Linked DNA regions of Cricetulus griseus. The protein of the gene in region 7 purifies or fractionates together with the protein of the main gene of each other region. This does not show direct contact. Links are inferred from orthologs where the notes say so. Each region holds a gene or a part of one and is shown on either strand. Other genes may lie near its edges. The genes, in order: Ecd, Eftud2, Znhit2, Eapp, CUNH9orf78, Snrnp200 and Aar2.

What was found.
Region 1: the proteins of Aar2 (region 7) and Ecd purify together in Homo sapiens (affinity purification with mass spectrometry; 3 studies listed by BioGRID and IntAct, counting the BioPlex papers as one, with this or other methods). This does not show direct contact. The link is inferred for Cricetulus griseus from reciprocal best matches to the Homo sapiens genes AAR2 and ECD.
Region 2: the proteins of Aar2 (region 7) and Eftud2 purify together in Homo sapiens (affinity purification with mass spectrometry; 5 studies listed by BioGRID and IntAct, counting the BioPlex papers as one, with this or other methods). This does not show direct contact. The link is inferred for Cricetulus griseus from reciprocal best matches to the Homo sapiens genes AAR2 and EFTUD2.
Region 3: the proteins of Aar2 (region 7) and Znhit2 purify together in Homo sapiens (affinity purification with mass spectrometry; 3 studies listed by BioGRID and IntAct, counting the BioPlex papers as one, with this or other methods). This does not show direct contact. The link is inferred for Cricetulus griseus from reciprocal best matches to the Homo sapiens genes AAR2 and ZNHIT2.
Region 4: the proteins of Aar2 (region 7) and Eapp purify together in Homo sapiens (affinity purification with mass spectrometry; 4 studies listed by BioGRID and IntAct, counting the BioPlex papers as one, with this or other methods). This does not show direct contact. The link is inferred for Cricetulus griseus from reciprocal best matches to the Homo sapiens genes AAR2 and EAPP.
Region 5: the proteins of Aar2 (region 7) and CUNH9orf78 purify together in Homo sapiens (affinity purification with mass spectrometry; 3 studies listed by BioGRID and IntAct, with this or other methods). This does not show direct contact. The link is inferred for Cricetulus griseus from reciprocal best matches to the Homo sapiens genes AAR2 and C9orf78.
Region 6: the proteins of Aar2 (region 7) and Snrnp200 purify together in Homo sapiens (affinity purification with mass spectrometry; 5 studies listed by BioGRID and IntAct, counting the BioPlex papers as one, with this or other methods). This does not show direct contact. The link is inferred for Cricetulus griseus from reciprocal best matches to the Homo sapiens genes AAR2 and SNRNP200.

Annotation. Positions count from the first base shown.
Region 1 is NW_023276807.1:200,644,781-200,648,749, reverse strand, and holds part of Ecd (protein ecdysoneless homolog), read right to left. Parts: intron 2,060-3,969; coding exon 1,931-2,059; intron 1,266-1,930; coding exon 1,180-1,265; intron 1-1,179. UniProt on the Homo sapiens protein: Regulator of p53/TP53 stability and function. Inhibits MDM2-mediated degradation of p53/TP53 possibly by cooperating in part with TXNIP. May be involved transcriptional regulation. In vitro has intrinsic transactivation activity enhanced by EP300.
Region 2 is NC_048600.1:115,274,454-115,278,422, reverse strand, and holds part of Eftud2 (116 kDa U5 small nuclear ribonucleoprotein component), read right to left. Parts: intron 3,198-3,969; coding exon 3,070-3,197; intron 2,741-3,069; coding exon 2,547-2,740; intron 1,420-2,546; coding exon 1,308-1,419; intron 969-1,307; coding exon 828-968; intron 1-827. UniProt on the Homo sapiens protein: Required for pre-mRNA splicing as component of the spliceosome, including pre-catalytic, catalytic and post-catalytic spliceosomal complexes. Component of the U5 snRNP and the U4/U6-U5 tri-snRNP complex, a building block of the spliceosome.
Region 3 is NC_048596.1:53,289,375-53,292,960, reverse strand, and holds Znhit2 (zinc finger HIT domain-containing protein 2), read left to right. Parts: upstream 1-1,359; 5' UTR 1,360-1,595; coding exon 1,596-2,792; 3' UTR 2,793-2,836; downstream 2,837-3,586. Other genes in the region: delta(14)-sterol reductase TM7SF2, read right to left, coding at 3,370-3,530. UniProt on the Homo sapiens protein: May act as a bridging factor mediating the interaction between the R2TP/Prefoldin-like (R2TP/PFDL) complex and U5 small nuclear ribonucleoprotein (U5 snRNP).
Region 4 is NC_048598.1:147,614,677-147,618,645, reverse strand, and holds part of Eapp (E2F-associated phosphoprotein), read right to left. Parts: intron 1,285-3,969; coding exon 1,167-1,284; intron 1-1,166. UniProt on the Homo sapiens protein: May play an important role in the fine-tuning of both major E2F1 activities, the regulation of the cell-cycle and the induction of apoptosis. Promotes S-phase entry, and inhibits p14(ARP) expression.
Region 5 is NC_048599.1:142,694,730-142,699,491, reverse strand, and holds the start of CUNH9orf78 (telomere length and silencing protein 1 homolog), read left to right. Parts: upstream 1-1,564; 5' UTR 1,565-1,648; coding exon 1,649-1,731; intron 1,732-2,046; coding exon 2,047-2,106; intron 2,107-3,638; coding exon 3,639-3,690; intron 3,691-4,609; coding exon 4,610-4,680; intron 4,681-4,762. UniProt on the Homo sapiens protein: Plays a role in pre-mRNA splicing by promoting usage of the upstream 3'-splice site at alternative NAGNAG splice sites; these are sites featuring alternative acceptor motifs separated by only a few nucleotides. May also modulate exon inclusion events.
Region 6 is NC_048599.1:51,367,308-51,371,999, reverse strand, and holds the start of Snrnp200 (U5 small nuclear ribonucleoprotein 200 kDa helicase), read left to right. Parts: upstream 1-1,497; coding exon 1,498-1,542; intron 1,543-1,959; coding exon 1,960-2,123; intron 2,124-3,361; coding exon 3,362-3,533; intron 3,534-4,692. UniProt on the Homo sapiens protein: Catalyzes the ATP-dependent unwinding of U4/U6 RNA duplices, an essential step in the assembly of a catalytically active spliceosome. Plays a role in pre-mRNA splicing as a core component of precatalytic, catalytic and postcatalytic spliceosomal complexes.
Region 7 is NC_048599.1:23,026,773-23,029,426, forward strand, and holds the end of Aar2 (protein AAR2 homolog), read right to left. Parts: intron 721-2,654; coding exon 553-720; downstream 1-552. UniProt on the Homo sapiens protein: Component of the U5 snRNP complex that is required for spliceosome assembly and for pre-mRNA splicing.

The DNA.
Region 1 (3,969 bases), on a different chromosome or scaffold from region 7:
CATGTTCTTTTTTCTTTTTTTTTTTTTGTTTACTTTTTTTTTTTTATTAATTGTTCAAATTAGGAACAAGCTTGTTTCACATGTCGATCCCTGCTCCCTCTCCCTCCCCTCACTCCCATCCCGAGGCTCATGTTCTTAATTCCAGAATTTGGAAGGAGGAGGCAAGAGGAACAAGAATGTAAGACTAGCTGGGATACATAGTGAGACTCTGACTTAAATATCAAAAGACCAAAACAAAGCAAATCAAAATGAAATTGTTGAAAAATGGCTAATGTGAGAAATGGGAGTCCCCCTTGAAACTTTCAAATTCTGGTTGTTTTGTTTCTTGAGTCAACATCTCTCTTTATGAGCTAGGTTGACCTAAAAATTATGTAGCCCAGTTGGCCTCAAACTCATAGTGATCCTCCTGCTTCAGCCTTCTGAGTGCTAAGATTACACCCATGAACCATCACACTTGCTTAAAATATTAGATGTTTAGCAGCTTGTATATTTTCTTCAGTAGCAAAAACAGTTGTGTGCTTTATGGCATAATCCATTTCCTTAAATATTGTGTCATAAAGAACTGTAGGGGGTGGGGCTTCTTTAAGGCCAGGCAAACCCCTGTGCTCAGTGCCAGGGCAGCCTGTGAGCACTTAGGCTGTGAGTCTCCTGGCCTCAGTGTCTAACAATACATACACTTGTCAGTCTCAAAAAACAAACAAACAAACAAAAACCCAGAACTGTAGGGGACTGGAGAGGTGTCTCAGAGGTTAAGAGCACTGGTTGTTCTTCCAGAGGACCTAGATTCAGTTCCAGCACTCATTCACATGGCTGTAACTGTCCACAAACAATTGTAACCCAGCTCCAGAGGACCTAACACCATCTTCTGGCTTCCTTAGGGAACCAGGCATGCATGCAGTGCACAGACATACAAGCAAAACACTCACATACATAAAAATAATAAATATTTTAAAAAGAAATATACTCATAGAAAAATGATTAACTAAAATTATGTACAACAATAAAAATATCTATAATATAGATTCAAACACTGATTCCCCCAGTGGCATGCTCATGTCTGTATCCATACACACATTATACACACATACAGCCATGACATTTTATAAAACATATTAGTTAAAAAGAACTACCCAACCAGCAGTCTGCCTTCCTCTGTGGTGGGTGGTAGCTATAGCTCACCTTTCCGGGCGGTGTATGGAGAGCTGGAAGTAGTTCTTTGCCATTTCTAGTCTTTCCTGGTACTGAGCAGAACCTTCTATCAGTCCCTTGAAAACACAATACCGGTCATTAGAACAGTGCCTACACAATATGAGGGTGCTCCATCACTGTGCTATTCTCCCAGACCAATTTTATTATTATTTTGAAACTAGATTTTGTAAGTGGCTCAGCTGGCCTTTAAATAGCTACACAGTCAGACAGGCCTTGAACTTAGAATTTCCTGTCTGAGTCTCTGGTGAGCTGGGATTACATGTGTGTAGTACCATATCTGACCTCAAATTCCATTGATTTTAGTGAGTGTTTCATTAGCAGATGATAAATATATATAGTAATGGGTTTTATTTTTGATATCCTTGTATGTATATTTAATGCATTTTGAGCATACTCATGCCTATTACATTCTCGAATGTAAGGGTCTCTCAAAAACTATGTATAGGAGCATTCAGTTTTAATCATCTTCATTATCATGCTCATTTGTTTACATCCACCACCTGTGAGGGTGGATTTGGTGGTGGTGTTCGATTTATTTCTCTGAGATGAGGCTGGCCTATAATCTCCTTGGCCAACCAGTATAGTCAACTAGTGAGCTCCAGGTTCAGTGAGAGGAAGACCCCGCCTCTACCCACCCTCTGGCCCCCACCACGTGTAAGAACACAAATAACACATACATGCACACACATTCATAAGAAGAAGCAACCACCACAATTCCCACCTTAAAGTAATCATTCCTCTTCAGACTTTCAAGGAAGCTGGCCCAGAGGGGTGAAGCAGTCACAAGGGATTTCCTGGAGTCAGAAAAATGTGGGCTACATTTGGAGCACAAAATCTCAAATCCATGAGCCTAGATGAGATAGAAAGAATGTTTGTTATTCTTGCATTTTCTTTTTCTCTGTCATCTTAAATTAATTTTTCCCATTTAGCCCTTATCAAGAACTAGATGACTGGACACAATGAAATGTGAACACTTGAACACTTTTTAGTTTCTTTTTTCAGACAGGGTTTCAGTATATATACCTGGCTGTCCCTGGAACTCAGTATGCAGACCAGGCTGGCCTCAAACTCTGCCTCCCGAGTGCTGGGATCAAGGTGTGCACCACCATACCCAGCTTCACTTAGAACACCTTTTAAATTATACGAAAAGTAGAATTTGTTTCTGAGCTGGCAAGATGGCTCAGTGGATAAAGGGGCTTGCCACCAAGCCTGATGGCTTGTGTTCAATCTCTGAAACCCACATGGTAGAAGAGAACCAACGCAAAAGTTATCTTCTGACCCCCACTGTGCACCATGGCAGGCTCCCCCCAACCCTGCCATGCACACGAAATAGATCAATGAAAATGTAACAACAATGTGAAAGTAAGTTGAGCATATTCTCAGACACAGGAAAGAACAGAATGATTTTGTTTTAAGATCCTTTGGTAAAAAATGATAATAATATGGCACAATAATTCAAAGTCATTACCTAAGTCCGGCACCTCCCTTAAGAAGTAATCTGTGCACTCAAGTAAATACTGGTGCCATCCTTCTCTACCCTCTCATCACCCCAACAGCAGCACACACTCTACTGCACGTAACTGCATGATAAGGAGAGAATTTCCTACCGGCACACATCAATTTGTCAACTTCACTTCACAAACATGGCGTAATTTATCTATTCTTCCATGCACTTAGGTGTTTTCTAAGTTTTCACTATTACAAATGATGTTTCCTGAGTAGAAGTCTAGTGGTTTTGAAACCTGGAAACACATTTCTAGAAGTGCAAATGATAAGCAAAATGGTCAATGCAATTTCAGTGTTGATGGATAGTGGAAACTGGTTTTCACAGGGAATGAATCAACTTAAGACTCTCTCTCTCTCTCTCTCTCTCTCTCTCTCTCTCTGTGTGTGTGTGTGTGTGTGTGTGTGTGTGTGTGTGTGTGTGTGTGTGTGTTTGAGACAGGATTTCACTATGTAGCCCTGGCTGTCCTGGAACTCACTACACAGGCTAGGCTGTCCTAGAATTCAGAGGTCTGTCTCTCCCGCCCAAGAGCTGGGATTAAAAGTGTGCGCCACCACACCCAGCTAAATTTTTATTTCTATCCACATGTTAGAGTACCCTTTTCCTTTATATATCCTATAAATGCTTACCAGCTCAGTATATGTTCCCATACTTTTTTATATTTGCCAATCTAGTAGTGAAAAACTATTTTGTGGCTTTAAATTATATTAATTTTTAAGTAGAGAGGTCAATGCTTTTTCATGTTTAAATTAAAATTCATTTGTACTTCCTTCTCTGTGAACTATCTGTTCAGCTTCTGAACATTTAAAATTAATCAGTTAGCTTTTTTTTTTTAAAGATCTTATTTGTTTATTTGTATACAACATTCTGCTTCCATGTATATCTGAACACCAGAAGAGGGCACCAGATCTTATAACGGATGGTTGTGAGCCACCATGTGGTTGCTGGGAATTGAACTCAGGACCTCTGGAAGAACAGTCAGTGCTCTTAACCACTGAGCCATCTCTCCAGCCCCATTTTTTTTTCTTTTTTTAAGATTTTATTTATTACGCATTTTTTGAGGTATGAGTGTTCTGTCAGCATGTATGTCTGCATGCCAGAAAAGGACATCAGATTACATTACAGATGGTTGTAAGCTACCATGTGGTTGCTGGGAATTGAACTCAGGACCTCTGGAAAAACAGCCAGTGCTCTTAACCACTGAGCCATCTCTCCAGCCCAAGCATTCTTTTCTATAGGAACACCTAATACTCCTT
Region 2 (3,969 bases), on a different chromosome or scaffold from region 7:
GTAAGTGTCTGTCCCCAAAATAAGAATCCAGAGGACAATACTTCCCTAATGAGTAGGCCCCTAAGACACCAGGACCATTTAGCACAGTGCTGCTGAGTACGGCATCACTGACTTGATTACTCCCTTGGCCATGCAGGTTAAAGCCCATCCTTATATCCACCAAAATAAGCTCGCCCTGTAACTCTGCCTTCCTGCCTCTTAGAAATAGTTTGGTGGCAGGCTCAAGAGTGTAACAAGATCAGTCACTTTTGTTTGTTTTAACTTTCTGTTGTTATTTTATGTGTATGGGTGTCTTGCCTGCATTTACACGTATGCACTGCATGCCTGGCACCTGTGAGACCAGAAAAGCGATTCAGATCCCTCGGAACTGGAGTTACAGATGGTGATGAGCAGCCACCTGGGTGTGGGGAATTGAACCCAGGTCCTCTGGAAGAGCAGCCAATGTTCTCAACTGCTGAGCCATCTCTCTAGCCCTATTTGTAGCCCACAATGGCCTCCAACTCCCTATGAAGCTGAGGCTGACCTGAGCTTTCTGCATTCTCCTGACGCCACCTTGCAGATGCTGGGATTAACGGTGTCCACCACCATACCTGATTCAGTTCAAATTGTGTGCCCCTTAAGGAAAAAGTCTATCTAAAGTCATCTGAGGAAACATACACACAGTCCAGTCTTGTCTAGCCCTTAAATGATATCAGGTGAGCTGGTCCATGAACCAGGCTGTGGGAAGCAACAGATCAGGAATAGCTGCTGAATGTCACACAGTGACAGCACAGAGCAGTTAGCTGGGGCGGATATGGCTTCGCAGCTACTGCAGGCCTCGAACATACCTTGGTGGTGAGAGATGGATAGCTCTTGTTGACCTTGCGCAGGCCATCAAGCATTTTGGGCAGCTCTGAGGGGTTGACTGGCTCCACGGCAATCTTGATAACAGATGTGGTATTGAATTTCAAGGGCCGGAAAATCTGAGCCTGAGATCCAAAACACAGAGGAGCGAGGGCCTCAGGGGCAGGCAAGAAGGCACAGGCCTAAGGGAGAAGCTAAAGTCTCGACTCCCCAACCGAGAACCATGGTACAGCTGGGGCCCAATTTAAAGGACCATTTGCTCCAGGCATTTGGCACAGCCCTGGGATGAACAAGAAGCTCACTAGTCCTAATTTCTAGAATGTGGCAGGGCGAGGGCAGAGCCAAGAAGTAGCATCGACTCTGGATTAGGATCTTCTGAGTTCCAAAGTTTGTTTGCTCACATGACCATGGTTTCTGTGCCCTTCTAGCTCAAAGTGCTCCCTGCTCCCCTTCAGAAACACTACCTCCTCATTGCCTCGGGGTTCAGTTATGGTTGCTGTCTTCACAATCGGCTGATCAACGCCTTCAATCAGAACCCAGTTGCCAGCAGGAACACGATTCACTTCAATGTGGTACCTGAAGTAACAGCCAATAAACAAGCATAGGACTTAGTCAGAGCATTCACTACACACACACACACACACACACACACACACACACACACACACACACACAAGCACCAAGCACCTGCTAACGCCAGGCCCAGACCAGGAGCAGAGGTGAGTAACCCAGATCCACTCTTGTGGGGAGGGGATCATCGATGCGAGCACATGGGACAAGAAAGAGCTATGCCAGAGTGTCATGTATGAGGATGTGATGTGGACCTCTGTACGTTAGAGGCCAGCAGCCTGGTCTACACAGTGAGTTCCAGCACAGCCAGGGCTATACAGTGAGACCCTATATCATAAAACAAAAAACAAAATAGCCATTGCCTAGGAGTTATCTAACCTAAGGGGCTGCTAAAACACACACACACACACCCCTGAGCTCTTCAGTTTTCTTCTGTCTTCTAGAGTAAGGATGGATTTAGAGGAGGGGAAGGGGCCATCACTGAGGCATGGCAGCCACGTTACCAACAGGATTGCTCTGGTTCTGCTTGTCACCTGATGACAAACAGCCCAGAGGCCCAATCTAAGTGCAATCCAGCAGCCTGGGAAGCTCCAGAGATTCGAGCATGTTTGGGTACAACTGCTTCTGGGAAGAAACCAGAAGCAGTAAGCTAAGGGACACAGCAAAGTGGATAAGAGAGGTGACCCTGTAGTCGAGAGCACCAGCTGCTCTTCCAAAGGACCTCAGTGTGACTCCCAGCAGCCACATGGAAGCAACACTGTTCAGGGATCCAAAGCACTCTTAAGGGCCTTTTGGGGCACCAACCACGCACATGATGCACACGCATACATGCAGGCAAAACACTCATACACATTAAAAAGGGAATAAAAAGAGTAACAACAGAAATTCTACTAAAAGAAAACACTTCACTCCAGATACCCAAAAGTCAAAGGGAAAGCTCCTGACATTCTAACAGGAGTTGCCCTTCAGCCCCGGCAACCTTAAGAACTAGATGTCAGGAAGGGGGTCATCTCACTCTACACTGTACCAGCTGTACCAGGTCGCTGTGTTTCCTAGGACCCCATTAACACGGCGACAGTCCCAGGATAGACACCCGCACGTGTCCTTGTAGACTCTGGTCAGGAGTATAGTACCTGGCGACCGAGATCCAAAGGCGGCCCACGGTACATATCTGGGAATCTTCCTCGTCTTCCAGAGTATAGTTCTCCCCCAGCACCTTCACAGGCTGCCCAGCATGGATGGTGCCACTCAGTACCCGGCCAAAGGCATGAAACTGAACTCCGTCATCTGTGCTGTACATCTTAGTAGTGTGACACATCAAGGGACCCTGGCAGAGGGGACAGAGGACAGCTTTAACCACAGACAGCCCGAAGGTAACACCACATCCTGACAACAATGACAGGAGCTGGGAGGAGAAAGGCCAGACTAAGGAAGACGTGGACTCCTGGAGAAATTCCAAACCGTGCATTACCCCTCCCTCTATGAGGGGCTAACAGGAGACTCAGACACAACAAAAATACAAATGAGAAAACCAAGCCAAGCAGGTGGTACAGGCTAGCAATCCCAGCATAAGGGAGGCTGAGGCAGGAGGACTCCTGGGAGTGTGACACCAGCCTGAGGTAGAGTGAAGACCTATGCCATAAAACGTTCCCTTACATCGGGGTCACAGTCACTCATGGCCTCGCCAAGGTCGGAGTCCACGCCGCCAGTGTAGGTGTGCTCGATCTTGGGTTTGGCGCCCACCTTTGGAGATGGAATGTGCTGCACACACATGTCCACAAAGCCTGTGGCGGGAGAAGAGGACACCGTCACTACATTGCTACACTGCTGCTGCTACACATTCTCACCAAGGAATTGGAGGGGGAGCATGGGCTAACCAGGAGATAGATAACACTGCCAGGGAAGCATGGGCTAACCAGGAGATGACACTTCCAGGGAAGCATGGGCTAATCAGGAGATGACACTTCCAGGGAAGCATGGGCTAACCAGGAGATAACACTTCCAGGGAAGCATGGGCTAACCAGGAGATAGATAACACTTCCAGGGAAGCCCATTTTCTAGAAGGAGAAAACACTTTTTTGGAGTCACCGTGCCAGAGAAATTTAAGAAGTAGGTTTTGGTGGGGCACAATTCCTTAAAATCCACCTGACAAAAAAGCTTAAGTACTCTAAAACAACCAACCCATGGCCACAGAGACCCATGTTCTTACTGAACCCAAGTATTTACTGAGCCAGATACGTTTCCCTCATCCCTTTCTGTTTACTTAGGACAGACCTCAGCTGACCAGCCTGCCCTTGGAGAAACACTACACGTTTCTATGCAGTAAGTTACCGTTTCCCTAACAGGTTAATAAGCCACGAGACAGACTGCTCATTAGCACCCTGGGAAGACTAAAATTTTTTTCTTCTTCAGTCTCAAGACTGAACCTAGAGGTCTACAAATGAACCACAGTCCCAGTTCCAAGTGTATCTGCTTGATGGGTGCCCAGTATCTTTGGGCTGATGGCCAGTCCAGAGTTAGTATAATCTTTAAAGGTCCAGACACCTTTAATTGCCA
Region 3 (3,586 bases), on a different chromosome or scaffold from region 7:
ATCGGTTTTTACTGAATTTGGGACCAGCTGTACTATCAATAAAAGTTCAAAACACGGGCTGGAGAGATGGCTCAGAGGTTAAGAGCACTGACTGCTCTTCCAGAGGTCATGAGTTCAATTCCCAGCAACCACATGGTGGCTCACAACCAAACCTTATGAGATTTGGTGCCCTCTTTTGGTGTGCAGATATACATGGAAGCAGAATGTTTTATACATAATAAATAAAATCTTAAAAAAAAAAAGTTCAAAACACAAGGAGCATCGGGTCCCTCGGCATTGGAATTGTCTGATTGCACTGGCATCCTGATCTTGTCTGGCTGAACTTGATCACAACTGTGACTGAGAAGCTGATTAAATGGTTCCACCCTTAGCACCAGGCTTCCACTACACCCAGATCCCATTGCATCTTGGAATGCACCAAGGAGTAAGGCCAAAGAATAGTTGGACACTCCATTCCATTTAAGCTTTGTGAGAGATACTGGTCAAACTGTAAAATGCGCTGCAACCAGTGTCTAACCCATTGTAGACTCTGAATAGTGACTGTCTCAGACTCATTGTTTAGCCATTAGCTTTTTACTATAGTGGGTGTGGGTATTCCCACATTCTTGTTAGGACAGCATTCAGGAGTGTACCAGGGATTTGGAGGCAAATGGTTTTTATTAAGCCCAGGCTAGTTTTGGACTCTTAATATTCCTTTCCCAGCCTCCCAAATGTTACTAGACTACCACATGCTGTGTAGACTACCACACTTGGCCTGAGCAGTGCTTAAGGGTCAAATTCCCAACTCAGGTTCTTTGTAGAGGAAAAGTATGAAACTATGTAGTTTGCGATCCATGCATAGTGGCACATACCATTAATCCCAGTTCTGAGAGGAAGAGGCTAGCCTAGCCTGGTTTACAGCGCTAGTTCTAGGAAAGCCAAGGCTACACAAACCTCTGGTGGCAGTCAGGGGTTGGGTGGGGATGGGTGGCACAAAACAAATACTAGGAATTGAATTTCAATCCAACTTGGAGGTTGGGCTGCCCCAGTTTGTTATATTGATATGTTAAGTATCTTCGGGGCTTCTCTGTGGCTTCGGAGGCTGTCCTGGAACCTGCTCTTCAGATTCTTTGTCATGCCTGGTTTATGATTTGGTTCTTGTAGGGTTTTTATTATTTTGGGGGTATTTTCAAGACAGGGTCTTACTGTAGCTCTGACTATTCTGGAACTCACTGGGTAGACCTGAAACTCAGAAATCGCCCTGCCTCTGGGGACCTGGTGCGGGGATTAAATTAAAGGCGTGTGTCGCTACACCCCTAAGATTCTGGATTTTTTTTGTTGGTTGGTTTTGCTTAAAAGGTAGTTTATTTTTGCACAATTTGGTAAAACCACAGGGAACAAGCTGGGATCAGCGACATTAATCTTCTAACTCTCGAGAGCCACCGTGTTGGTTAGACCTTGGGCGTGTTCTGCGCATGCTCAAAAGGCTACTCTAGAGACGGAAGTTACCGAGAAGGTACGTCGCCCCACGCACAAAGGCGGAAATAACCGAAGAAGCACCGGAAGTGGCGGAGCTACGTCTGCTGTGTGGTGCCCGACACGCGGCGCCAGTTGCCATGGAGCCCGTAGGGCTCTGCGGCTTCTGCCCAGGCGGGGAAGCTTTGCCGGCGCGCTACACCTGCCCGCGCTGCAACGCGCCCTACTGCTCGCTGCGCTGCTACCGGGCGCATGGCTCCTGCGCCGAAGACTTCTACCGCGACCAGGTGCTGCGAGAGCTCCGCGGCCGGAGTGCCTCTCCCAGCCGTCTGGCGGGAGCACTACGCCGGCTACGCGAACAACGGGAGACCGAGGATGAGCCCGAGGAAATAGGCCTCAGGCCCGGCCCGCGGCCGAACGGCCTTTCTGGACTCTGGGAAAGCTTGTCACCGGCTGAGAAGGCGGCGTTCGAGCGGCTGCTGAGCCGTGGCGATGCTGGACGCCTTCTGCCCCCGTGGAGACCCTGGTGGTGGGGCCGCGGGGGTGGCCCGCGATTTATGGAGGAGTTGGATCGTGCCCCGGGCAGGGATCTTTCGGAGCCGGAGACCGCCCCAGAGAGCACCGCGCCCGAATCTGTGGATGATGCCGCCGCGGTGCCTCTTGCTGAAGACTCAAATGCCGCCGTGCCGCCCGCAGTGCCCTCCCGTATCCCAGCGCTGGCCAGCCTGAGCCGCTGCCCGCCCTCGCCACTCGTGCGATTCCAGCTGCCCAATGTGCTGTTCGCCTACGCTCACACTCTCGCCCTGTATCATGGAGGGGACGACGACGCTCTACTCTCTGATTTCTGTGCCACACTGCTCGATGTTTCTGGAGCCCTGGGCGCCCAGCAAGTCTTTGACTCTACGGAGGAAGCCCTGCAGGCCGCAGCCCACGTGCTGGAAGCGGGTGAACACCCACCTGGGCCCTTGGGTACGCGGGGTGCTATGCAAGAGGTTGCTCGTATTCTGCTGGGCGAGGGTCCTATCAACCAGAAAGGCTACACGCTGACAGCACTGGGGCACCTGGCCCAAACCCTGGGCCGAGCCCGGAAACAGGCTGTGGTTAGCGAAGAACGAAATCGCCTTTACCGGGCTCGGAAGAAGTGCCAGTTCCTCCTAGCCTGGACCAACGAAAATGAGGTTGCTCTCACACCACTGGCTCTAGACTGTGCCAGGGTCCACCGAGCCCATGCTGTCACAGCCGAGGAGATGGCAACCCTTACTGGGGAGCTGGAGCGGCTTTGGGGAGGCCCGGTACCACCTGCTCCAAGGACTCTCATTGAGGAGCTCCCTGGCTGAGCTGGGTGTGTGGTATTAATAAAGCTGTCACTGGTCTGTCCAAATGTTGGCAGTACCTTTATTTTCTTCAAAGACAGTACCCTATCCTAGACTTTCCTTGAAGTCACTGTGTAGCTGATGACCTTGAACTTCTGAGCCGAGCCTGCCTCTACCTTGACAGTGCTGGGATTACAAGTGTTAAGTCACCTTGCTAATTTATGCAGTGCTGAAGGTCAAAGGCTTCTTGAATGCTAAGCAAGCATTCTATATAACAACTACATCCCCCAGGCCTGAAGTGCCCATTTCTGAGAGAAACCAGTTGTTCCACGAAGCTACCCTGGACACACAAACCACTTCCCTAGTACAGCTTCCCTAGTCAGCTAGTTCTCTACCTCTCTCCCCCAAATCACTGACCCCAGAATAGAAGAAAAACAAGATTGAAAACATTTATCCAGCAGGGAAAAGTATTTTCATATGGGAGCAGTGGTTCCCTCTTCTTGCGTCAGACTCTGAGGCTGGTCATCCCTGCCAAGTAGAATGGGGTGCAGGCCCTTCACCCCACATGTGTTCAGGCCTGAGCTTGTTAGATGGCTCTGCCTCAGTAGACATAGGGTATGATTCGATAAGGCACACGTTTGCAGTATTCCTGCCAGGCACGGCCATACTTGCGAAGGCACTGCTGCTCATCTCGGGCCTCCCGGTGTACCAGCAATGCAGTGAAGTAAAGGAGGTAGAAGTAGGGCAGCAGGTGAGACACCCCTGTAGGGAAGGGGTTGCATGATGAGACACCAGCACCCGGTGTATAATGGCTTTCT
Region 4 (3,969 bases), on a different chromosome or scaffold from region 7:
CCACATGGTGGCTCACAACCATCTATAGTGGGATCTGATGCCCTCTTCTGGCGTAAAGGCATACATGAAGATAGAGCATACAGATCAGTGCTGCAACACTTGCCAGCATGCTAGAGCCTAGGTTTGAACCTAGTACCACAGAGGTAGGGGCAAGAGGCAAGGTATGTGCATGGTGGCACATGCCTATCATCCCAGAATTTAGGAGGTTGAGGCAGCATTGCTATAAATCAGCCAGGGCAACATACATAATGAGTACCAGGATAGCCAGGCCTACATAGCAAGACCCTGTCCCACAAGAACAATAGAAAGTTCTATTTCTTTTTTGAGACAAGGTTTCTCTGTGTAACAGCCCTGACTGGCCTGGAACTCACAGAGATCCACCTGCCTCTGCCTCCTAAGTGCTGGGACTAAAGGCGTGTGCCACCATCACCCAGCTAAAAAGTTCTATTTCTTAAATGAAGTGACTGACTATGACAGTTTAGATCCATCAATAACTCAACAATTAACTGTGGTGACACAAACCTGAAATTCCAGAGAGCATTTGGAAGGTAGAAGCAGGACCAGCCCCAACCACATACTAAGTTTTTAAAGCCAGCCTAGGCTACATGAAGATCTGTTTTATTTTAATGTTTTATGTTTTGTTTTGTTTTGTTTTGGGGGGGGGGGTGTTAAGACATGGTTTCTCTGTGGCTTTGGAGGCTGTCCTGGAACTAGCTTTTTCAGACCAGGCTGGTCTCAAACTCACAGAGATCTACCTGCCTCTGCCTCCCGAGTGCTGGGATTAAAGGTGTGCGCCACCAACATCCGTCGAGGATCTGTTTTAAAATAAATAAAAATTTAGCCAGGTAGTGATTGCATAGACCTTTAATCCCAGACAGAAGCAGGTGGATCTGAGTTCAAAGCCAGCATGGTCTACAGAACAAGTTCCAGGATAATTAGGGCTACACAGAGAAACCCTGCCTCAAAAAAAAAAAAGTAAATAAATAAACAAATATTCAATTGTCTGACTAAAACTGCTGGTTATTTTCAAATAAACTATTCAAGTTTTTCTCCTCAAATTGTTTTTGATGTGTTTGTGTAAAAACAAATACACATACTATAAAATATAAAAGCAGGGAAAAATCATTCTTCCTGTAAAGATTACATATATAGATTTAAATTCTTACCCTCTTCTCTGTGCATCAACCCAGGCTTGGTCTCTGTTATCTTTCTCAGGATCATATAGCAACTCATCGTTTGTTGGAATCCTGCGTTGTTTCTTCTTCTTTTTCTTGGTCACTTGTGCTAATTTTTAAAAGGTTACCAATATGGATCAGAATCATGTCTAAAGTTTACAATTCTTTAATATAAAATGACTCTCCTGTTTCCCATACTATGTATTTATTCTATTTATATTATCTTTTAAAAAGATACCCAAAGCCTTTCTTTAGCCAGCAATCCCAACACTTAGGAGGTTGAGGCAGGAGGAGAACTGCCATGCCTGGACTACACAGTTAGTCCCAGGCCACTCTGGCAACAAAAATAAAATCCTACCCCAAAAACAAATTCATAAAATAGTTATTCTTCAAATAAGAGTTTTTGTTCAATTAAGACACCAAATTACAGAGAAAAGAGGCCAAAGGGCTAAATTCAAATAATGAAAATTCAGTCTCAAAATACCCATTTAAACTAACTGGCATGGTGACAACTCTGTAACCCCAGTGGATCAGTAGGATCAAGAGTTTAAGGTCATCCTTGGCTAGATAGCAAGTTTGAGACCAGTCTCCCCTGTATGAGGCAGGGTTTCTCTGCGTAGCCCTGACTATATTTTCATTGTTACAAAATGAACATAATTAAAGCATAATGACTAACCACAGAAATAATATGTAATTCTATATTGTGGACTATTTACTTCTAATTACAAATAAATTTTGTCTTGAAACATGGTGTAGCATGGGTAACAGCCTTAATAAAAAAAAAAAAAAAAACTATATTTTTCAACAGTATTCGTAAAAAGCCAACCTTAGTGCAAAGGTTGAGACTACTTCTTTCTCACCAGATCAGAAATTCTCGGGCCAGTCTTTGCAAGTGCACTGTCTACATCTGTATTTAGACTTTATAACCAACAAGCTGGAAAACCCTGTTTCACAAAGATATGTTGTTGGAAATGGAAGAAAGCACAACAAAGCCTCAGAGAGCACAGGATCTGACTGCAAACACTTGACCCAGAATTATGCAACTGGCAGTGTAGAGAGATCCTCATTGCACAGCTGTCAGTGACTTCAGTGAGGAATTCCTCTTGTGCCGTTTCTCGGGAACATCTTCACTTTGACTGTGAATGGGCTTCTGGCAGGGGCAAATGGGGTGTCAGGTAGATTTGGAAAGTATGATGAAATTTCATGTGCAAGTGTTCTTTCACATAAATATAATATCCTTTTGTCTGGTTCAATGTCATGTTCCTCAAAGAAAGAAGATTAGGTAGACAACATGTGAATTCTATTATCATCTTTTTTTTTTTCCCTTTTTAATCAAAGCTGAAGTTTCATTTGGAATGATCAGGTCTTTTCAGACAAATCCAGGCATGCTGCATTTGGTCCTTGCAGTGATAAATTTAACTCATTCAAGATGACAAAGATGTCCACCAAGTAAGCTGTTTTCTGCAGCTCACATTCATTGCTGAAAAGTGCTTCCAACTGCTTTCTGAGGGGGCTGGAGAAATGGCTCAGAAGTTAAGAACAATTGCTGCTCTTCCAGAGGTCCTGAGTTCAATTCCCAGAACCCACATGGTGGCTCACAGCCATCTATCATGGGATCTGATGACCTTTTCTGGTGTGTATGAAGACAGAGCATTCATACAAAAAATACATAAGTAAATAAATCTAAAATCTTTGAGTTCATCACAAAGCTCAAACACATGTTTGAACCCTTTCCCTCTGGACAACCATTGCACTTCAGTGTGAAACAGCGGAGCTTTGTTCAACGCATCCAACTCACTGCACAGCTACAAAACAGTCAACTGTCTAAAATGCTCACTTTGACAAAACTGACACCTTTCATTACTTCTTATAACTCTTGTGGCAGCATCTTCACTGCTAATGAATCATTCACTGCTAATGAATCTTTTGCCAATGAATCATTCAGAGAGTTCCGATGACTTCTGGTGACTTACTGAGTACCAAACATTGAAATCCTAGCAAGCTGGTGCAAACACCACAAACCCTCTCCCAAGAGCTTGTGTGCTCTTTCAGAAATGAACCAACTGTGTCAAATACATCACGTGCAGTAGCTGTTGTTTCAAGATGTTTGCAAAAAAGAAACTCATCTTTAATATCGCCATTATTAGCACACCTCATGTAAACTAGTAACTGAACAGTTTGCAACGTCTGTAGATTCATCAAGCTGGATAATAAATAAATGTTGGAAGTGCAGCAGATTCAATTTCCTGGATTACCTGATCAAGAATATCAGCAGACATGCCATCTACTCTTCTGCAGACAGTGTCTTTAGATAAGGAAACTGCATTAATTATGAAACAAATTCACTTCTGATCTCATATCTTGAGCACCATCTTTGACCACTGGCAACAGTAAATCCTGAGCAATGGTGTGAGTTTTCATAGCTATGGCAATTCTGAGTGCCACCAAATATGAAGCTTCAGTGGCTGCTGTATTTTGTTTGTGGTACTTGCCACCAGTGTCAAGTCTGGTTTTCTTTCTTTTGTGTGTGGGGGGGGGCTGGGGGGGGGCGGGGGGTTCAAGACAGGGTTTCTCTGTGTAGCCCTGGATGTCCTAGAACTCACTCTGTAGACCAGGCTGGCCTTGAACTCACAGAGATCCACCTGCCTCTGCCTCCCAAGTGCTGGGATTAAAGGCGTGCATAACTACCACCTGTCAAGTCTGGCTTTTCTGAGTCCATGAGCTTTGCTTCTAAATTAGTTGGTATTCTTGCCAGCAGAGCTCAGATGCTTGCTATCAAAATGGTATTTTAGTT
Region 5 (4,762 bases), about 120 Mb from region 7:
TTCAGCCAACAGAGACATGGCGTCCAGTGAGTGCCATACACATTTAACAATGGCTGAAACAGCCTTGCTGGGAGGTCAAGACTTCGATACTTAATGTATTTTTCATTAATGCAAAAAAGCTGTTTCAAGACATCCCAGTCTTCTTTGTCCTAGTTTAAGAGGAACGACAACCTCAGAGAAAATTGTTCTGGAGAAAAGCCAAAGCATGGCAGACATGCCTCCCTGCTTTAGAATAGTTTTCCAGAAAAAAGTCTCCATCAGTCTCCCGCCCCCCCCCCCCGCCCCAGCCCATGAACTGGAATGCCATAGAGGCCCGCTGTCCCTGATGCAAATCCCACAGCTGGGAAAACTATGCCCCCACCTGAGCTCCCCTTCCCAGCTGTGTAACTTGAAGCACAGGTTACTTCTCTAAGCCTCAGCCTTCTCTAACTTCCTCAGTTGGAAGACAGACCCAACTGCATCTACTTCGTGAGATTAGACCGGAGACTTTTAGGAGAGAATGCTTAGCCCTGCCACAGTTAAGAAGTGCTTTGCTCCAGAGGAAACTAGTAATTAAGGAGTCCCTATAAGTCCCATGTGAGCCATTACGCATGCACTTATCCATCTCCTAAGTGTTTATGGATACCTTTGAAAGCTAACTACTCTCGCAACATCTTGGCGGTGGAAGGTGTGTAGGACAGAGCGAGTCCTCCAGGCCAAAGGAGACACCCCGAGCTCTCGAAGGGCAGTCCCCGGCTTCACACCCTTGGAGAGGCCTCTGAACGTCAGTGGCATCCCTCCTAGGGACCAGTAGCAGCAGACCACCCTGGTACGGGGGAGTTGGTATCGGGACTGATATTCACCCCCGCCAAGGCGCTCAGCTTTTGTCCGTGAGAAATAAATTTGCACATCTGAGGCCCAGAGCCCGAGTGGCCTCGCGCTGGCCTTCCGAGCGACGTGCGGCCTGCTCAGGAGAAGCCAGGGCCGTGGGGACTTGGGGCGGACACAGGAGCCGGTCGATGGGAGGGTGGGCGGCGGGGACCTCTCCCCAGATCGCGGCTGCCCCGCAAAGCCAGGCCTCCCCAGTTCGCAGCGGCGGCGCGATCGTCCCTGCTCTAGCGGCCCAGCCCACCGCACCAGGCATCAGCCGTCCGGAACTCACCTGCCGTCGCAACCGCGCCGCCTGTCAGTCAAGCGCGCCCACCGCGACGCCGCGCAGAGTCTTGTGGCTCTGCCTGTCGTGCCCCGCCTCCCTACCGTCAGCTGTCCAATCGAGAGAGCCTATGCCAAGGACGGGGCGGGGTCACATGGCGCTGCCTACTAGGGGGCGGGACCGTGCGTGCTGGGGGCGTGGCCGTGCGAGTACTGAGTGCCCATGCATGCTGGGAGTAGGGGGAGTGGCCGTGCTGCTGGGGCGTGGCCACGTGGTTCGAAGACTGTCTTGCTGGTGGAGGGCACAGTCTCGGCGCTGGGGCGTGGCCACGCGGCTGTACCTGCCCTTGCTTTTTGGAGTTGGGAGCTGGTGGCTATGCTGCTGGGGCGCGGCCTGGACACCCGGAGGCGGGTCTGCATGCAGCCGGCCCTCTGACGACACTTCTGCGCGCCGGAAGAGAAAGAGGTTCCCGGCACTACGCGGCAGGTAACGCCGCTCCTAAGATCTGGTGCCGCTATGCGGATCACTGGGAAGACTTTCCGCCGGCGGCGGGCTGACTCGGAGTCGGAGGAAGATGAGCAGGAATCAGAGGAGGTTCGGTACGTGTTTGGCATGACCTCCACGGCCCAGGAAGAGGGAAACAGCCTTGGGACTGGCTACCGGCCGGCACTGCGCTGACACCACTGACCGGGAGCCAGGGTTGTTGTCTTTCAGAGGCTCCTGCTGATAAGGCCACATTTCCCCGGTCCCGAAGCTCGGAAAGGTGCTCCGGGGTCGCATGGGTCTGACTGCCGGTGATCCACAGTGCCAGGGACTCGGCCGAGAGACACGGATGTCCCCGGAACTGAGTTAAGCTTTGAGTTCCGCAGAGGATCTCTCAGCCTGTGCATTGCTTTTTATTCATTTCCCCCCAGGTTAAAACTTGAAGAAACCCGAGAGGTGCAGAACTTAAGGAAGAGGCCAAACGGGGTGAGGTGGGTACCATGGGGGTGGGGGTGGCGTCATTTATTGATGACACAGATACTTCCAGCTAGGGTCTCAGTTACAAATATCTCCTTCGACATAGTTCTTTCTCTAGACATACACCTTGCACTGGTCGAAGAGGGGACCAGTTTTTTTTCAAATGTGTAACTGCCACATGCCCTGAGCCTGGTGGTATCAGAGTCTACTCCAGGTCACTAATTGCTTTTTGGTTTTTCCAGACAGGGTTTCTCTGTATTGCTTTGGAGCCTGTCCTGGAACTTGCTCTGTAGACTAGGCTGGCCTCGAGCTCACAGAGATCCGCCTGCCTCTGCCTCCTGAGTGCTGGGATTAAAGGCATGAGCCATCACCACCACCCTGTTGCTAATTGGAGTTGTTTTTTTTGTTTTGCTTTGTTTTTCAAGATTTTATTTATTACTTATACAGTGTTCTGCCTGCATGTATACTTGCACACCATTGCAGATGGTTATGAGCCACCATGTGGTTGCTGGGAATTGAACTCAGGACCTGTGGAAGAGCAGCCAGTACTTTTAATCTCTGAGCCATCTCTCCAGCCCTAATTGGAGTTTTTAATTGCACGGATGAATTGTGAATGACAACGTGTTGACAGATAAGAGTTTAGAAAAATTAGAGAAGTATAATTAAGAAATAAATGATTTCTGTGGTGGTTGTTGGTGCATGCCTCTAATCCTAACCTGGGAGTTTGAGGGCAACCTGGGTTATATAGACCCTATATTTAATTAAATATAGACCCTATATTTAAGAACTTTGTGGGAGCCGGGCAGTGGTGATGTGCACCTTTAATCCCAGTGCTCTGGGAGGCAGAGGCAGTCAGATCTCTGTGAGTTTGAGGACTGCCTGGTCTACAAAGCCAGTCCCAGGATGGGCTCCAAAGCCACACAGAGAAACCCTGTCTGGAAAACCCAAATTATACTGTGATTTCCAGGCTAAAATGAAATCAAATGGCTATGCAGGAACATGCACAGCTGCTTCCTTTGCCTTTCACCCTCCCACTCAGTGTGCTGAGCACTGTGTTCTTTCCTACCTACTCTTGGGCATGCCCTTCCATCAGTGCTCTAGCCTGCAAACCTGATTGTCCCAGATTGCTTCCTATGCTGTGACCATGACACAAAACCACTTGCAGAGGAAAGGTTCTGATTACATTCAGTTATTGGGGGAAGACAAGGCAGGAACCCAGAGGCAGGAACTGTAGCAGAGAGCATGGAGGAGCACTGCTTACTGGCTTGCTTCCCAGGTTTACATTCAGCTGTCTTATACAACACAAGACCACATACCCAGGGGGAAGGGAGCCCTGCACACAATGGCCCTCCCACACCAATCACAAGTAAGAAAATACTCCTCAGGCTTGCCTACAGGCCAACATGATAGAGGCATTTTCTCAATTGAAGTTTCCTCTTCCCAGGTGACTCTGGCTTGTTTCAGTTGACAAAACAAACTAGCCAGCATATTGATTGATTTCCTTCTTGTCTCTGTGTCATTTCTTTGTCTGTTTTCTTTTGCTCAGTGCTGCTGCCCTGCTGGTGGGAGAGAAGGTTCAAGAGGAGACTACTCTGGTGGTGAGTGTTGTCTCCTCTCTGGGGCTGTTCTTCTGTGAGTGTGTCTCTAATGTATAACCATGCTGCCAGGGAGATGGCTAGTCAGAGTGCTTCCTGTGCAAGCACAAGGGTCCAAGTTTGGATTCCTGGCACCCACATGAAAAACTGAGAATGGTGACACATCCCTATAATCTGAGCACTGGGGAGGCAGATTAGGACGATGTGCTGAATAAGAAAGCTAAGATACCCTCTCTCAAAGTATAAGTTGGGGGAATGGCTTTGTGGGTAAAGTGCTGAAGTTCTTGCTGCACAAGTTTGGGGACCTGAGTCAGGCCCCTAGTACCCAGCACAAAAGCTATACATGATGGCATCCATCTGTAACCCTAGCAAGGTTTGGAGTAGAGACAGTTGGAGCCCTGGAGCTGACTGGCCAGTGAGTCTACCCAAATCAGTAAGTTCTCTGTCTGAGATATTTAAGGTGGAAAGTGATTGAGGCAGATGCCTGACTTTGGGCTCTTGCCTCCACAACCACACATGCATACACACAAACATGTATATACACTGTCCACACACAAAACTAACAAACATGGTCACATACAAAGTAAGAAAAGCTGGGTGGTGATGGCATATGCCTTTAATCTCAGCACTTGGGAGTCAGAGTGAGAGACCAGCCTGGTCTACAAGACCTAGTTCCAGGACAGCCTCCAAAGCCACAGAGAAACCCTGTCTAACAAAAAACAAAACAAAACAAAACCCCCCAAAAAACAACAACAACAAAAAATAAGGTGGAGAATGATTGAGGACACACCTACAACGTTGACCTCTGACCTTCACGGGTATGCATACATATGTGTACGTGCACCTGTACACTCACAGATGATCACAATAACTCTGATGCTACTATTCTAGATGCTTCCTCTAAGCAGTGTGCTTTCCGCAGGATGACCCTTTCCAAATGACGACAGGTGGCATGGTGGACATGAAGAAGCTGAAGGAGAGGGGCAAAGATAAGTAAGTGGAGGGTACTGGGCACAAACACACTGTTGCTGGGCCTTAGCTGGCAGGAAGAGCCGGGGATGAAGCTGCCTGGACA
Region 6 (4,692 bases), about 28 Mb from region 7:
GGCCCAAAGAAAAAGCTGTCTACAAAATAGGGTTGGAGATGCCAGGCTGTGGTAGCACACACCTTTTATCCCAGTAGTTGGGAGGCAGAGGCAAATTGGAGGCCAGCTTGGCCTCAAAAACAAATAACAACAATAAAAAATAATAATATAGAATAAAATAATAATAAATATAATATAAATATTTTGTTAGTAATATGTTAAGATATAATATATAAATATTCTATATATTATTTGCATTATAAACATAAATAATAAATATAATAATAATAACAACAATAATAATAGCATGCAGAGAAGTCTCTTCAGAGCAAGTTTGTGGCCTACCTGGACTCCAAAAGATCTTTTCTCAAAAGCCAAAGAAGGGCTGGAGTGATGGCTTAATGGTTATGAACACTTGGCTGCTCTTTTCAGAGGACCTAGGTTTCAACCCCACCACCCACAAGGCAACTCCTAACCTATCTGTAGCTCCAGTCCCAGGGGATTTAATACCTCCTCCTGGCCTTCTTGGGCTCTGCGCATACATGACACACAAACATACATTCAGACACAGATATACACGTAGCCAAAACACCCATATACATAGAATAAAACGAAAGTAATGATAAACAGATTAAACAATAAAAATTGCCAGCAAGATGGCTCAGTGGATTAAGACACAGGCCTAAGGGTCAGTTGTGCTTATTAAACCTAAAGGGAAAAGTAGAAATAGCTGTTTTGTTTTCAATGTAGAGAATTATTAAAAGATTAGATACCGCCATTTCATAAAATGTATCATTACTGCTTAATACATCTGAATAGTATATCTGAATAGACTTTTCATATATTTCTTTAGTAAATGTAGCGTTTGTGCCACATTGAGAACAAATAATCCGTATCTATAATCCTGACATGGACTGTGACAGATCATTGGGTGCAAATATTTCTTCCTTCACCTTCAGTCAGCTGCCACAGCGATTGACTCTTGAGGAAAAGCGTTGGGGGCAGCAAACATTTCCCCAATTTCTCAATACAGAAGAGAAATCCAGTCAGTTATTAGAAGCATGTTAACTTGCTCCTTCAACTTTCTCATCCTTAATAAACGGAGCTCCTAAGCTTCCGTTTGCCTGCAAGCATGCCTGCCTGCCTGCCTGACGGGACCGCTGGACTGAGAAAGCAAAAGTGTATTACAGAAAGGGACTTTTAACACCACACTAAAAGTGGCTTCGTGACTCTGCGTACGTATAGGTCCTTGGAACCATATTGCGCAGGAGCGTGTTTCCTAGGTCCACGGAATCCCTGACCCGGATGTATTACCTTCTGCAACCGCCACCTAGTGGCGGTGCGTAGTCGCCGGAAAGTATCACTTTTAGCGTACGTCCCGGAAGCGGAAGGGAGTCCGTTGCTTTTCTCTGTCCCGCACGTTTGTCCTGCGTCGTTCCTGCTGGGCCGGCGCGGTTTGTTGAGGCGGTTCGCAGCGTGTGGAGAGTGGAACCCTGAGTTCCCGGAGCATCGGCAGCCATGGCGGATGTGACTGCCCGCAGTCTGCAGTACGAGTACAAGGCGGTGCGTGAAGTCTCGGCGGAGGGCTGCGGGCGAGGGAGGCCGTGGGTAGCCACAAACACGGACGGAATATCTGATCTGGGTGAAGGCTGGATTAAAACACGACGGAATAACTCTAGTGGGGTTTAGGGCGCGTGAGGACTCGGGAGGTTTTTTCCCAGTCTCCTCAAACCGCCCCTTCCTACTCGTTATCCCCAAATCTGCTCAACACTTCACCTAATGTGGGTTATTGTGACTACTGTTAGGAACGTTGATCGTTCACTTTACCAGACAGTCCGGTGCTTGGCGTTTTATTATACTGTTTCTTCTTAAGGGGATTATTCCTTTTTCCCAGTATTTTTCCATCTTCAGGTGTCACTGTGATAACAGGAACCGAAGCTATTTATATATTAAAGTTTTGATTAAGTATGATCTTTTCAGAACTCAAATCTTGTGCTCCAAGCTGACCGCTCACTTATTGACCGGACCCGCCGGGATGAACCGACAGGAGAGGTTCTGTCCCTGGTTGGGAAGTTGGAGGGAACTCGGATGGGAGATAAGGCTCAACGCACCAAACCACAGATGCAGGAGGAAAGACGGGCCAAGTAGGTACCAACGGGGTGTTATATTTTCCTTGTAGTCTAAAGCGCATCTTGAACATTTGAGCAGTAGTTTTGATGAAGTACCTGTGGAAGATCAGCGGTGTTTGCACAAGAGAATGAAAACCTCTTCAAGGTTTAAAGTTTCTTTGGACTTGGGTGCAATGAAATGGAACAAAAATCTATTAGTACTTTTTGTTTCTGATTCATAGGTAGATGCTAATTTTCTTCAAGCTATTTTTTTCTTAAAAATCTGTTTCATTTTTAATCATGTGCATGTGTGTTTTTTTGTGAGTATGTGCACATGCATCCAAATGCCTGTGAAGGCCAGAAGACAGTTTGGAACATAGGAGCTGGAGTTTCAGGCAGTTGTGAGCTACCCAGTTTGGAGGGCTGGGAACTGAACTCTGATCCTCTGCAGAAGCAGTATTGCTTCTAACTACTTGAACCTTCTCCCCAGCCCCGTCACCAACTATTTTCCAGACCCTTGTTAATCTCTTGTCTCAGCAGTTCAGCCCCACTACCACTGTTAAAAGCTTCTTACCCTAACTCCCTCCGGTTGTTGTCCACTTCCTGATGCTTTTGTTTTGTTGTCTCTCCCGTTTTTTCATCTTGATAGATCCATTTCAAAAGTTGCATGTTCTCCTACTGTGCTTTCTTTCTCCTTTTTCTTTCTGTGAAGTCTTAACAGTCCCCAGGCCCTGTTTAGTTTGAGTGGTTATAATTGGGGAGAGTTGTTGAGACTTGAGAGAATTGTTAAATTTGAGAAGAAACATTCCTTGGTCCTTCACTTTTCAGAATCTGGCTTCTTTTCTAGCTGTTTATTGGGAGTCATAGAAGTAGATTCCCCTGGAGCCTAGCCTCTCTGGCTAATAAAAGGTTTTGTTTGTTTGTTTGTTTTTTAAAGTTGAAATACCATTATATTATCTCCTCATGAGGATAAAGAAATAAATACTTCTTCAAATGCTTAAAGTCAAGTGGGAATTACTTATTTTGATTCATGTTCCTGCTTGCACATATTAGATGTATAGAAAAGGTAAACTTCGGGGGTGGGGGGCAGGGGAGGAGGAGAGGGAGAGGGAACTGGGATTGACATGTAAATGAAGCTGGTTTCTAATTTAAAGTTGGTCTAATTGCAATTATAAAAAGAAAAGAAAAGAAAAGAAAAGAAAAGAAAAGAAAAGGTAAACTTGACTTGGGGGCGCAAAGTTCTCCCATTGAGCATCACACCCTGTGTTCATTAGGAGAAGAAAGCGTGATGAGGACCGGCATGACATCAACAAGATGAAAGGTTATACGCTGCTGTCAGAGGGCATTGATGAAATGGTGGGCATCATCTATAAGCCCAAAACTAAGGAGACGCGAGAGACCTATGAGGTGCTGCTCAGCTTTATCCAGGCTGCTCTTGGAGACCAGGTGAGGCTGGAACCAGAGGATGAGGCCTTGTGTTTGGAAAGAGAAAGGGTGATGCACAAGAATTTTGGTTAAATTATTAGTTACAAATATTTATTCTGTTTGTGGAAATCAGGACAACTTTCATCTGTGTGGGACTCAGAGATCAAACCTAAGTTGTTGGCCTTGGTGGAAAGTATAAGTTTGTTTTGCTTCTGAAAAGCATCTACCTAATCCCCCCCCCCCCACTTCTGGGGACTGACTCCAGGATCTCTCATGCTTTGTTTTTGTTTTTGTTTTTGTTTTTGTTTTTTTTTTTTTTGTTTTTTTTTAAGTTTTTCAAGACAGGGGTTCTCTGTGTAGCTTTGGAGGCTGTCCTGGAACTAGCTCTTGTAGACCAGATTGGTCTCTAACTCACAAAGATCTGCCTGCCTCTGCCACCTGCCTCTGTCTTCCGAGTGCTACGCTTAAGGGCATGTGGTACCACTGTGTTAAATCCTCAGCAGCTCCCTATAGTCTTTAATTTTTATCTTTTGGTTTTTCAAAACAGGATTTCTCTGTGTAGCCTTGGCTGTTCTGTAACTCACTCTGTAAACCAGGCTGACCTCAAACTCAGAGATCCTCTTGTCTCTGCCTCCTGAGTGCTGGGATCAAAGCTTATTTTTTAAATTTTATTTTATTTGTTTGTGTGAGACAAGGTCTCATGTAGCTCAAGCTGACCTCAAACTCACTGTGTATTCAAGAATAACCTAGAACTTATGGTCCTGTTGTTTCTCCAAGTGCCAGGATTACTGGCACATTGCCATTGTATCTTGTTGATGAATGTGATCAAAGCCTGAGATGCTGCAGATTTTCTTTCTGTTCTTTTTTTTTTTTTTTTAAAGTTGCTTTTTATGTGTATGACTGTCTTTCTTATATATATTTGTGTGTGTGTGTGTGTGTGTGTGTGTGTGTGTGTGTGTGTGTGTGTGTGTGCACCCTGTGTACCCAGTGCTCTTGGAGATTAGAAGACGGCATCAGATCTCCTGGAACTTGAGTTGTGATTTTTTTTGAGCCATCTAGTGGGTGCTGGGAATTGAACCCACGTCCCCTGCATGAGCAACAAGTGCTCTTAACTTTTAAGTCACCTTTCCAGCTCCTGTAGTTTTAAAAATATATGCTTCTTTATTTCCTATTGTCACAA
Region 7 (2,654 bases):
AGACTCAGCACACCCTCTTCCTTGCTGCCGCCCTTCCCCAGGCTGGGCTCCTGAGAGCTCAGTGGCCCATTTTTCAGCAGGTATCCTTCCACTTAACAAGGAGAAGGCAGAAATTCTGTACAAACCACATTCGACTTCAAACCTACATTTAACTTAACAATTCACCGACTAACCCCTCAGACCCTGGGATGGAGCAGGTTTCTTCTTTCTTCCTTTAACCAGCTATGGACTAAGCATAGTCTTTTAGACTTAAGTTTTTTTTTTTTTTTTTTTTTCTCGTTGTAGAAGGAATTAGACTGTTGTTGGGCAGGTTTCATCTGGACACTCTACAAGGGCCTTTTTCTGAAATTAAGTGCCAGGGCCAGGCTAAAGGAAACCACAATATCTTGCTTTTGCAACAAAGGAATGTATTTACTGGTGAAGAGGGATCCTGGCTCCATCTTTACAGGACCTGCCTGGATCGCTATGCTGGAGGATCCCAGGAAGACGGATGAGCAGAGACACCGGGCAGTAGCCATGTGGGAAGGGTCTCCCTGGCTTGAGGATTTGCAGTTAGCCAGTTTCGATGCCCTCAGGGAGTTCCACCACCACTGGGGCACAATCCTCTGGCTCTGAAGCAAAGTCCCAGCGGAACTTCTTCGTCAGGTGGGCTTGGAACTTTTCCGCTTTCTTCCTCAGGGTGGCATCCACAGCAATACTGCAGGCAGAAGAAAAGAAAACCTACAGAGAACAGAGTATAAGTTACTCCTGAGAATAGGGGACCAAGAAAGCTCTGGAAATTTCCTCCTAGTGTTAAGCTCTCTGGGGCAGTAGATCAGAGCACAGTTACAGGACAACTGCTATGGCCCCCGCCCCCAACCAAGAAAAAACACATTGGGATGGGATTGGAATGGAAAATTACCATGCTGTGTATAGATGCTCCATGAAAGTAAGGCCACCAGAGTTACCACTACAGCCCCACCAGTTGGGGGTGGGGTTGTGTTAAGGTCTATAAGGCACCTGGGCTAACACAGAAGAAAAGATAGTTATACCAGTTGGTGTAAAGAAGTTCGGGGAGACACATAAGCCCTTGAATCCCATAAAGTCACATGCCCTCAGCAAACAAGGCTGAATTGCTGCTCTAATCTTCTAAGTGGGCCATAGAATACCAGTTTGAGGCTTCTATTCCTCCTAAAAGCTGTCTTTAATGTTCATTAAAAAAAAATTACCATCGTTTAAATTGTGGTAAAATAGATAGCTACCATTTAAACTATTTTTAAGTGATGAGCCAGTGGCAATAAGTGCATTCCCATCCCGAAACCATCACCAACACTCATCTTTAGAAACTCTCATCTTCTCCAATAGAAATTCTACCCATGAAACACCAATTCCCTATCATTTCCTTCCCCTGGCCTCTAGAAACACTCTTCTACTCTCTGTCTTTATGAATCTGACTAGGCTAGGAACCTCATGGAAGAGGAAGCATAGAGTATCTGTCCTTTTGTGGCTGGCTTATTTCACTTAGCATATCTTCAAGGTTCATCCACATTGTAACATCCATCCTAATCTCCTTTCTTTTCAAAACTAAACAGTAGCCAGTTGGTGGTAGCACACATCTAGAGGCAGGGGGAATCTCTGTGAGTTCGAGGCCAGCCTGGTTTACAAAGTGAGTTCCAGGACAGCCAGGGCTACACAGTCAAACCCTGTCTTCAAAATCCAAAACTAAACAGTAGAGCTAGACATGGTGGCGCACACCTGTAATTCCAGCACTCAGGAAGCTGAGGCAGAGGAAATTCAAGCTCAAGGCCAGCCTGGGCTACATAGTCAGACCCTGCCCCCTATGCCTCCCCAGCCCCAGTTCACACTTTCAAGTAGGCATGATTGTATACTCTGTCTCTCTTTCATATCTATTTGTTTGGTTTTCAGACAGGATTCCTTTGTGTAACACCTCTGGCTGTCCCAGAACTCACTTTGTAGACCAGGCTAGCCTCGAACTCACAGCGATTCCCCCTGCCTCTGCCTCCCGAGTGCTGGGATTAAATGTGCATGCCACCATCCCCAGCTCACATCTTTATATACACATATCACACACACACACACTTAAAGAGGTTTTCAAAATTTTTATTTATGTGTATCCTTGTGCCTCTGTGTCTGATGATGTTTATACTCATGTAGGTGCCTGCAGAGGCCAGGAGGTGGTGTTGGATGCCCTGGAGCCAGAGTTGTTGGCGGCCATGAGATGTCTCACATGGATGCTGGGAGCTGAACTCAGATCCTCTGCAATTAATCCCTAATCAACCTCTTTAGCCTCTAGTAGTCCACATTCTGTTTGCCATTCACCTCTCAATAGCCATTTGGGCTGTCTGTATTTTAGTCACTGGGAATAAATCTGCCATGAATATAGCTGTACAAATACTCCAGTCCTTGCTTACAGATCTTTGGGTGCAGATCCAGAAGGAACTGCTAAACCTTATGGCAACTCTGCTTTACTGGGCACTGTTTCCACAGCAGCTGGACCACAGTACATCAGGCCCAGCAGAATACAGGATCCAGTTTCTCTGCAGCCTGCTCAACACTTCTTGGCTTTACTTACTTTGAACAATCCATTCTGACAGGTTTGGGTAGTATCTCATTGTAATTTTGATTTGCAGTTCTCTAATGATGTTAAACACATT